2 linked regions of the Caenorhabditis elegans genome follow. The protein of the gene in region 1 purifies or fractionates together with the protein of each later gene. This does not show direct contact. Each region holds a gene or a part of one and is shown on either strand. Other genes may lie near its edges.

What was found. Proteins that work in one complex are often made in the same cells at the same time.
Region 2: the proteins of lab-1 (region 1) and lab-2 purify together in Caenorhabditis elegans (affinity purification with mass spectrometry, with the first as the bait; one large-scale study listed by BioGRID). This does not show direct contact.

The regions. Positions count from the first base shown.
Region 1 is NC_003279.8:9,656,485-9,659,890, reverse strand, and holds lab-1 (Long arms of the bivalent protein 1), read left to right. Parts: upstream 1-1,867; 5' UTR 1,868-2,086; coding exon 2,087-2,154; intron 2,155-2,200; coding exon 2,201-2,300; intron 2,301-2,346; coding exon 2,347-2,469; intron 2,470-2,520; coding exon 2,521-2,715; 3' UTR 2,716-2,879; downstream 2,880-3,406. Other genes in the region: C03D6.9 (Aa_trans domain-containing protein), read left to right, coding at 863-1,090; asfl-1 (putative histone chaperone asf-1-like protein), read right to left, coding at 64-74, 172-322, 372-542, 1,170-1,462, 1,506-1,617. UniProt on the Caenorhabditis elegans protein: Involved in sister chromatid cohesion during mitosis and meiosis.
Region 2 is NC_003281.10:7,324,092-7,331,504, forward strand, and holds lab-2 (Long Arms of the Bivalent protein), read right to left. Parts: upstream 5,517-7,413; coding exon 5,386-5,516; intron 5,322-5,385; coding exon 5,052-5,321; intron 5,005-5,051; coding exon 4,848-5,004; intron 1,211-4,847; coding exon 1,028-1,210; 3' UTR 849-1,027; downstream 1-848. Other genes in the region: F56C9.10 (BCAS3 WD40 domain-containing protein), read right to left, coding at 6,134-6,460, 6,578-6,708, 6,763-7,413.

The sequences.
Region 1 (3,406 bases):
GATCTGAAATCGCGTTTTGTTGTATCGGAAAGGGGATCGACCATCGATTCGGTAGCTTTCGTATCAGTGTTTATCTGAACAAAAAGTTGATTATCTACAATCATAGGGAGATACAGACAAAACAAAAAATAATTAAAATCAATCTAACTTATGATTGAAAGTATCACTTACCACCCATTTCAACATCTCCACTTGCTCCATCGTGTTCCATACTTTCTTCTCCGTTCTTTTGCTCCGTTCCGTCATGTGCATTCGCCATTCGTTCGTTGAAGCTCTCGTTCAAGTCAACTTCTTCAGTATTGGGACCCGTCTCATCATCGTCCTGAATAACAGTAAATTATTATATTCAGATAATGCTAGATTCTACCCACCTCTTCCTCCTCGTCATCATCCTGCCCATCATCATGCAATGGCATAAGATCATCCTCATCGAATACTTTGTTTGCCTCTTCATCAACCGGCTCGGCGACTGGATCCTCATCAGTCCACCGAATTGGGAATGTGGTGACGCGAAGATCTTCGGTTTCGATTTTACGGGAAAGCTGAAAATTTTTGAAAATTCAAGGTCAAAACTGAATTATCTACATTTTTTAACTGAAGGAACTTTGAGATTAATTTAGAGCATTTCACTTTTTCCCTCTTTCCACAACAGATGGTTTATTACGTCATCCCATACAGTACATCTGTGTGCGTGAGCCCGATCGATGATGTCCATCTGCTCGACAGGTAGCGTGCACAACGTATTCAGTTCTCTCATTGTCATTGTCTCACTCTCAACTATTTTTCGTTCTTTATTTTTAATTATTTCATTAGTTTCATTGCTCGTTTAATAATATTTATTTATTTCCTTCAGATTGTGAAAATGAAAGCTACTGCAGCGCAAAATAATTCAACTCATGCTAGTGTAGCGACCAAAAATAGCAACTACAGAGGCGCTACATACATTTTCGACAAAGCTATCGGAGGAATTGTTTATGCAAGTTTTATAATTGCCGGAGCAATCGTCTTCGTTGGAAGTAAGGTGGAGGGCTTTATTGGACTCGACGAAAACCGTTCTGACGATCAGGAATGGACTGTCATTAGACAATAACTGGTGCTTGATTTATCAAAAATAATTTTGTGTGAATGACTTTTGAAATAAAGTGTTTTTTTCCTGAAAAGAACAGAACCTTTTCGATGAGCGGCTTTGCAGGCGGATTCTCTTTGAGCTCTTCGTCGGTGTACTCATTTGCCACAAACCATCCCATATTGATGAACTCCTGATCGTTGTACTTGCAACGAAGGAGAAGCACACTGACACCAACAATATCCTCGACTGGAATCTTTGAGATATCCGGGTGTTCTGCATCAAAGACAAACTTGTGACGTCCTTCAGGAATCGGGCCAACGAGCGCGGAATCGAGAACTTGGTCGAAGTCTCGGGAGGTTCCAGATCCAACGTACACCAATTCCCATTCGAGATCTGATTATTCTTAATTTTTATGCAGTGTAAATAATATACATACCATGTGGTAAGTGCTCAAAAACTTCAAAAGTGATCTCCATTTTGAACTTGTCGACAAACATCGCTGGATTATCGAGAATTTGGACTTGAACGATGTTAACACGTGAAGCCATCTGAATAAAAAGCTCAAAATTAGAAATTAGAAAGCAGATTCATAAACTGTTCAAACGATAGTTTTTAAAAACGAGAAACAAATCAAAAATCCCGTAAAAAGTGGTTGAAAACTCCAGCTGGATCCAGTAAAATAAAATGTCGAAAAACTTTTTCCAACTACCGTAGTTTTTTTGCACAGACGAAGGCTAATCGTGGTGAAACCCATTGAGAAACAAATTCCTGTTTTTTTTTTGTTTTTTATTCGCAAAAACGTTGACTTTATTTTCTCGGCTTTAAAAGGCAAAACTAAAGAAAAATAATACATTGAATTAGTAAAAAATTAATTGTTTTCAAATTATAGAAATTATTAAAACGAGCAAGTCAGGACGAAAATTAGAATTTTTGACCTCTCCAAGATGCGCGAAAATTTATTTTTCATTTTGTCTTTCTCAATTTCCCGTTTCACTCGATCCTCGACTTTATTCAACAATGGTGAGCCATAAGAAAAATGATCGTCCTCGCCCATTGTGGATCTTGAAAATCCATAAACGGCTTAGGTAAGCATTCAGAAGTTCCAATATTTCAAAAAGTGGTAATTTTTAGCTTGTTTGAGTTCAAGCGTTATGCAACAGGAATTGGCAAAGACGACGGACAAGACATCTCGTGGGTGCTGAAAGGAAATGCAAAGAACAATGTGTATCAGGTGATTCATTTTATTTTATATTTCCTACAAAGCTAACATTTAATAGGTTACTGTTGAAACTATGGAGAATTGTGAAACGGACGAGTGCAAGAAAGTGATCTGGGTGCCCGATGAGTTGGCAGAATCCACCGGAACGATGTTCGAAGATTTCAAGGAAGACCAACCTCAGGTATTTGACAAAACTTGTTTAGAATATATGTCAAGTCTGGAATTTTTCCAGGAATCTGTGTCTTCGATCAGTAATAATGAAGCAAATTGGGGGAGTTCTGTGAATGAATTGGACGAAAATTATGAAAAAATGCAGAAAGAGGAAACATTTGATCCATATGATTCGGATTCCGATACATCCGAGGATTCCGACTTCGATGAGGATTTTGAGGATTCTGATAAAACGATGTGTTCTGGTCAATCATGAAATTAACCATTAATCGAAAAACTTCAAACTCAAAAACGCTGTGAATAATTTTTTCAAGAAATAATGTAGTTTTAAATATTGTGATATACTAATGTGATATAAGAAATCTTAGTTTCTCGTTCAGATTCCCATTTATTCTCTCGAAGCATTGAATATATATATATATATATATTTATTCAAATCGTCGTAACAAAACAGAAAGTATAGAATAATCACCGGGAGAAACAGACTTGAATAATTTGAATGATCCTGTAAACCAAAAGTAGTTAAGGGGATCAAGTTGTGTGGGAAAAATAATTAAACGGGATAGAATTTAATCGTGATGCAAACATTTGACGGCTCATTGTCCCCGGAAGTAACTTGGACATACGGTTCCATAGGTGAAGATTGACTAGTAGGAAGCTTTCGTTGATTGATCCACAAGGGCACATCATGTACGGATATCTGGGCGAGCGAGCCTTCCTCACAGTTGATGCGGCATTCGGAAAGTGGTATTCACCAGACAGGATGTTGTGATAGGTCCTCAATATTTGAAGAATCCGCAGGTGTTGAACTGACTTTTGGTTCATCTGAGCTAGACGGTTTTCATATGATGAGTATGATAGATTGCAGCGTTGGAAGACTTTTCTCGAGAAAAACTTCAGTGGGAACTCCAGTTGTTTAATCATATTTTTAGAGATCGGGTTGTAGA
Region 2 (7,413 bases), on another chromosome or scaffold:
CAAATAGAAATAGTTTGAAAATTGTTGAATCATATTGATGTAGTTCTATTTATTTGCTTACGTGGTTATCAACTTTTTCATGGAACAAGAAAAATAACGTTTATGAATGCAATATTTGAAAGTTTAAAGTAACACATTTCATTCATGATTGTTGATACAGTGTGTTTAGTATTTATCTTAATATTAACTTAAACCAATTTACGGACGGAGCCTATTTTGCAAGTTGGTGGCGTTTCAAATAATATTGTTGAAAATTGAAATGGAAATGAGTGGTCACAAGAAAAATGTACTGCCAAAATTTAGCAATCGATCCTTAAACGACGTTTTTCGGCATGCTTCTTTTTGCATTTAGCATTCGAAATGTTCATCAAGCTGTAAAATTACGGTACTTGGTCTCGAAACGAGAAATGTTTCCCAACTGCGACAATGCTTGCGCCTTTAATGAGTCACTGTAGTTTCAAAGTTTCGTTTCATCGTTCTTTTTAAAGGCGCACTTTTTTATTTAACAAAAACGTGACGTGTCAAGATCCAGTACCGTAGTTTTTTGGTAAAATGTCGCGTCTGGGTATTGCAGGCTCAAAAACAACATTCCTTTTAGATAATACATTCTGACTCACTTTTTTGACCTGTTCCAAACTCGGGGTTAAGAAAGTTTTCTCACAATGAAATAGCATGCACCATGTACTAAATATGAAAAAAAGCGGGAAATGGTATACGGTTGAGTCATAGCTCCAACTTTCCCCCACTTCTCTTCTTTTGAAGCGAGCAATGAAAGAAAACCTGAGTCATCACGAATGTTTGTGATGAGAAGAAAAAACGGGAAATTTAGAAAAACTTCCAAGGTAGGCAAAAATATGAAAATTTATTGGGACTGGAACTGAATTTTACAACAAATGATGAGACCGTAAATCAATAGAGTTAGAGATCATGCAATAAAACGATTTTTCTTGAAAAATTGGAAGAACTTTTCCTAAATACAAAATTTCACAGTGGAAAATACCATAATTATTATCGAGTAGAAAATAGCTCAATTTGGAAGAATCGGAGAAAGAAGTTGATTCATAGCGGGCATTGGTGAATTCACAAGGCGTGGAGATTTCTCTGGCGGAGACGCATTTGACACTGTTTCATCAGAAATTCCACGTTTCTGTGTGTTCGGTTCCATGAGGATAAGACGATTGATGGTATTACGTGCTTGCTCGGACAAGGACTGAAAATTTAATTTTAATAATGAAATTGTTGATTTGAGAGTAAAAACATTCCTATGTTAAATTGTGTTGCGGACTTTTCTTAATTTTTCTCCGGTTTCTCTCAGAAACTGGAGAAAATTTTTTGAAAAATAAAAATGATGAAAACTTATCAAAAATCGAAGAAAACCCCGTAACAACAAGGAGTTAGAAACTACAGTACTGCTTAAAGGCGCACTGCCCTTAATTCAAAAAAGATTGGTCGCTTCGAGACCGGGACCAATACCCGGAAAATTGGGGAAAGTTTGAAAACATAAATTTATAAATTACCTCAATAGCCTTTTCATGGGTAGTGCCTCAAAGCGGCGAAAAGGTGGAAACATTTCTCTCCCCCAAGCTCGCTTGTGCCTGGAGTTGGTCACCAGGTAGGAGAGAAGTAGGCTAAACGACCCAAACTGCCATACGTCCTGATCGGTAGCAGCGTCCAATGCTCCCGTTCTTGACGGCCTCCCCCAGGTCTTGGCGACGTCCGTGCTCCGGCAATCTGGCTTGGCCTAGTAAGTCAGCCCAGTAGGACACCAAAAATTACTAAAAACTCAAAAACCAAAGAAAAAACCGATGGATCTACAACCCGGCAATCAAGTTCACTAGGGCCACGGTCTTCGCCCTTGAGGACTGCCGGGGGCCAACTACGAAAGACCACCAGATCGGAATTAAAGAAGAGCGAATTCCACCTTGGCACATGGAACACCCAATCTCTGCTCGGTCCTAGACTCGCATCAGGGGTTGAATACCTCAAAAATTCCACATGACACGTCGTCAATCTCCAAGAGACGCGCTTCTTCTCCATGCCTTCCATCGATCAACCTGAATACCAACTGCTCTAAAAACCAACAACAAAGACTTGGGACTGGGCTTTTTCGTAAAGAAATGCCATGAACTAGAAGTCATCAACGTCTCGTGGATTGGCGGAGGCATTGCTTCTCTTGAACTGGAATTCAGAAAAGTCAAGATCATGGTTCTCAATGTCTATGCTCCAGTTTGCAAAAGTCGGTCCGAAAACGACGCAAAGCGCTTCTTCGAGAGACTCCGGGCTGAATACTTCCAACTCAGGAAATCTTTCAAAGGACCAATCGTTCTCGGAGGAGACTTCAACGCCGCCACCTCATGCTCTACCAACGATGAACTGGCTCCCTGGATCTGCGGGAACGTCTTCGGAAATTCCAACAACCACGGAGACTTCTTCTTCAATTTCCTTGCATCCACTCGTCTCTTCCAGCTGAACTCAAGATTCCCTAAAAGACTCGCGAAAAGGTGGACATTTGCAGGAAAGAAGGCTGTTGGGAGGACGGAAATCGACTTCTTCATCTCATCCAGGATCGATCTCGTGAAGGATGTCAGCACATTCTCCAATCTCCACAATCTCAGTGATCACCGTCTTATCCGTTCGAGATGGGCTATTTCAGTAAAATCCGAACGCGACCACGCCTTCAAGTCAAGGAGACTGCCATCCACTGGTAAGGAGAGAGACTGTACTCTCTACGAAGACGCCATCAAAGATCTGAGTAATCACGCAACCTTCGGTTCGTACGACTCCTTCGTCAAGACTCTCCGACAAGGATTGGTTCCGCTTCCCGCCCATAAACCGCAAAAATTCAGCCAAAGGACTAACATGATTCTGCAAGAAAGGAGATCAGTCCTTGAATCCTCCGCTCCAGATACTGCCAAGCTCCGTAAACTGTCTCAAGAAGCAAGGAAATCGATAACGGAATATCTCACTCAAAAGTACGACTCGATTCTTGAAGCTTGCCGGAAGAAAATATCTTCAAAAATCTTGAAGAAATCCATCCCTGCCGAAATCCCCTTGCAATATCTCGAAAGGCCTGACGGATCTCTCACGGCCAACCGCATCGAAATCCGAAAAATCGTCGAATCTCACTTCAAGGCACTATACGAGGCTCCCACGAGCTCTCCACGTCAACCACAAATCCTAATCCTCCGAGTCTTGATCCCATCCCAGCCATTCTCAAGAGCGAAGTACGTCTGGAGATCAGAAAACTCAAGACCAAATCTGCTCCAGGTCTCGATAATGTGGATGCGGCGATGCTCAAAAATGGAGGCGACACTGTAGTGGACTCAGTAACTGCTCTGTTCAACAACATCCTCCAACACAACAAGGTCCCTGATCTTTGGAAAATATCGGATGTCAAGCTGATCCCGAAAAAGGCTAAAGCCACTAAGATCAAAGACTTCCGACCAATCTCGCTCCTCCCAATCCTGAGCAAAATGTTCTCGAGCATTCTGACCAGAAGGCTGACACCAACCTTGGAGAGCTACCTGGACGAAAGTCAAAACGGCTTTAGGAAAGGGAGATGCTGTGCTGACAACATTCAAAGCCTCACCATGCTCATCGAAAAGTGCAACGAATTCCAGCTCCCACTCCTTCTTCTTTTCATCGACTACCAGACGGCTTTCGACAAAATCGGACACTCGGCTGTGGTTTCCAGCCTCGAGAAAGCAGGAGCCGATCCCGCCATGCGCAAGATGATTCAGGAAATGATGGATGGAGGACAAGCCGAGATCACAGTGCACGATAAGAAGCTCAAAGTCAACCTCTGCACCGGGGTTCGTCAAGGAGACTCAGCTTCCCCAGCTCTTTTCAGTGCTGCTCTCCAAGCTATTCTGACGGATTGCGACAACGAGTTCGCGGGAGTTGGCATCAATGTGGAAGGTAGACACATAAGAAGACTGGAATTTGCGGATGATGTAGTCCTGATATGCTCCACACCGGGAGAAGTTCAAGAACGACTGGAAATTTTGGACCGAATAAGCTCAAATTACGGACTCAAGATCAATCAGTCAAAGACTGTTCTTCTGAAGAACAAGTTTTGCCGGAGCCAAGACGTCCTTTTCAACGGATCCCCCATCATTCCCGTGCCAGGTTGTCGCTATCTGGGGCGCTGGATCGACATATCTGGCTCAATTGACGAAGAAATCTCGAGGCGAATAAGAGCTGGTTGGGGTGCTCTGGTTGGAATCAAAGAAGTCTTGAGAATCATGCCAAACAAGGAAAGAATAATCCTCTTCAAGCAAAATGTGCTACCAGCTCTCCTGTATGCTAGTGAAACTTGGACTTGTAATGCTGGATCCACGCTGAGACTCAAAAGAACTGTCTCCGGTCTCATCGACGCTGCAGAAATTCGAGGCTGGAACTTCAACTTGGATCGTTACCTCCTTGCAAAACAATCAAGATTTACAGGACACATTCTACGGAGAGATCCAAACCGATGGACAAAAATCTGCACGGAATGGGACCCGAGCCACAACAAAAATTGGAAACGGGCCGTTGGAGGACAGAAGAAAAGATGGGCAAAGGACATCGACGAAGAATACGCAAAATTCCACCATAATTCCGCCATGTCGGGACAAGTCGTCGTTGGGAGAAGAAGACTAGGAATGCTCACACCGAAGGTCCCATGGCTGTCCATCGCACGCACCGACCGTGAAAAATGGAAAGAGTTTGTCCGCAGTTGCCTCGCAACTTGAACCCAACGGACATCAAAGTATCAAAGTAAGTATCAAAAAAGATTGGTCGCTTCGAGACCGGGACCAATACCCGGAAAATTGGGGAAAGTTTGAAAACATAAATTTATAAATTACCTCAATAGCCTTATCAAATACTTTTCTATAATTCCGAGCGAGTTGTTCAATATTAATAGTACTTTCTTTCTTGTCGTCAAAGTACAAAACAATCATGTTTCTGTTGCAAGTCAATCGAAATCCGTCTGATGATGGATATGGATGTTCCGACATAATTCTGAAATAATACACAGAAATTAAATTTTTTTTCCGCGCTGTGTTTACCTTTTTGCTTCACGCAACGTCTTTTGAATAATTTCAGCATTGAATCCAATGTATTGCTTCAATTTAAGCCATTTCTTATGATCCATTTCCGAACTTTTTTTGTTCATTCGATGAATTTTCTTTGTTTTTCCGTGTCGTTGTTCAAACATTTCGGCAGAACTATTCGAATCAACTTCAAAGCATACATAGTATCTCTGATCTACTTCAGAATCATCGTCGGGCATATATCCAAATTTTTGAACGACAATTTTAAGATTTGGAAGGTTGAATCTGAATTATCTTATACACTGTTTTTTTCCAAATGAAAAAACAAGATAAGAAATAAATGTTTTACCCAATATCTCTGAGAACATCCACAACGGTATTGATTACTTGCTCTTCTGAAGCCCGTTTCAGCGTCTCTCCTTCGATTTTCAGATTATCTAACATATAATCTTTCCATGTAGTTGAGGGATGTGGTGGCATCAGAAAAAATTATTTGTCATTAATTTTTGGAATTAGGAAATAATTAAAATATAAAAACTAGAATAGTAGAACACTAGAAATTCACGTGAGCTCGTATAAAAAATTATTTTAATTTCTACATTTTCATTGATAGACCAAAAGTTTGATGATAATTTGTTAGAAAAATGATAAGGTGAAATGGATAAGGACGATAAAAGTCTAGGGGAATCTAGTTCAGTGAAACTGAATTGGTAATTTCTTAATGAAACATGAAATATTCTAGATAAAGTTCCAAAAATTATACAAATAATGGGAAAATACTCAGAAAAGGAAATTTTACACATATTTCAAGAAAAGTGAGGTTAAAATTACAGCGAAATTTGAATTTTAAAAAAGTAGGACCGTAATATTTTTTTGTGGATTTTCACATGTTTTCAGTGGGAAGTTTTTGAGAAGTTTGAATGATTGAAAATTGAATTAAAAGAAACCTGATTAATAAATGGGGAAAAGGCAATTACGGGGAGCTGAAAGATGGGAAGAAGTGAGAAATTATACCAACCAGTGGTCAAAGCATAGGAAAAAACTTAAAGGAGATAAAATATAAAATTACATACAAATTATACAGAAATAGATACAAATCAAATATCATCCATGTCAAAAGTTCCAAAATCGTCAGAATCCTTCGATCGTTCTCGTCCATTCTGAACTTTTTTGTCCTTTTGAGATGATTTTGTGGAAGATGTTGGTAGAGGGGCAGACGCTGGTGGTGTCTTCTTCTTTTTCAAAGATTTGCCGCCAGTGGCTCCAGTGGAAGACGATGATCCAGAACCGTTTCGAGCAAATGGAGTTGACGATTCGGTGTCGAAAAATTCTTCAATAAGATCATCATTTTTTGGAGACTTCTTTTTCGTGCTGTCGTCATCACTTGAAATATCACGCATAGCATCAGCAATTGAGGCAATGTACTGAAATATTGTAGGTAATTGTTTAGTTATTAATTTTGGTTTATAAAAATGTTCCTTTTTACTTAATTCTGAATTTGTTTGTTAATTTTCTAAACTATTTTTCGATCTAAAACCTACATCTCCATTTGTGGCACTACTATATCCACCAATTACTGGTTGATCAGATCCTTGATCGATGCTGTACGAGTTGGCAGATGTGTAACTACCGCATTCAATTCTTGTTGCATCAGCGGGAATAGTTTTCATGGCTGCAAATATAAGGTTGTTTTGATAAAATTCACCCACTAAATCTTCCAACTCACTTATATTCACTGCCTCAGATCCAACAAGGACTGGAATCGACTTGAATGAAGCATTGGATCCTTTATTACCAGGAGACATCAGACTCGGTTGATCATCTTCTCGATATTCAAACAACTCGAACTGTGGTCCTTGCCAAATCCAACGGTGTGGTGGTAGATACGTTCGTGTTTCCACGTGAGGTGTCCAAACATCCTCGTCGCCAATCCTCTTTGCTGGTACAGTCTCTACTGTAGCAAAAGCCATTAGTGGAGAAGCAGAAGGCATTGGGGCATGCATATCTGCATTGTTCTTGGTCCTCTGAAGAATCCAACCACCGACAGGAGCAACACTTATTTGAGGAGAAGCTTCCATGTTAGTTTCACCCTCTTTTCGGAGAGATTTGATATCATGTTGTGTAACAATGACTCCTTGAGCTGGATCAACTTTTGCAATGACTAGAGACATTGACATCAGCATTTTGGTAGTTTTCGCCGTTTTTGTGCTAGTTGTCGAGTTATAACTCTTCATCCTGAACATCACTGACATTCTAGAAACTTCCAAGCGTCGCCTTGCAGCTACTGCAGGTGAAGACGAAGCTTGAGCAGCTGGATAGGAGAAACTTGTCATGTCAGCAGCCCATGCACTTAAATCTTCTTTCGTGTATCGAGAGT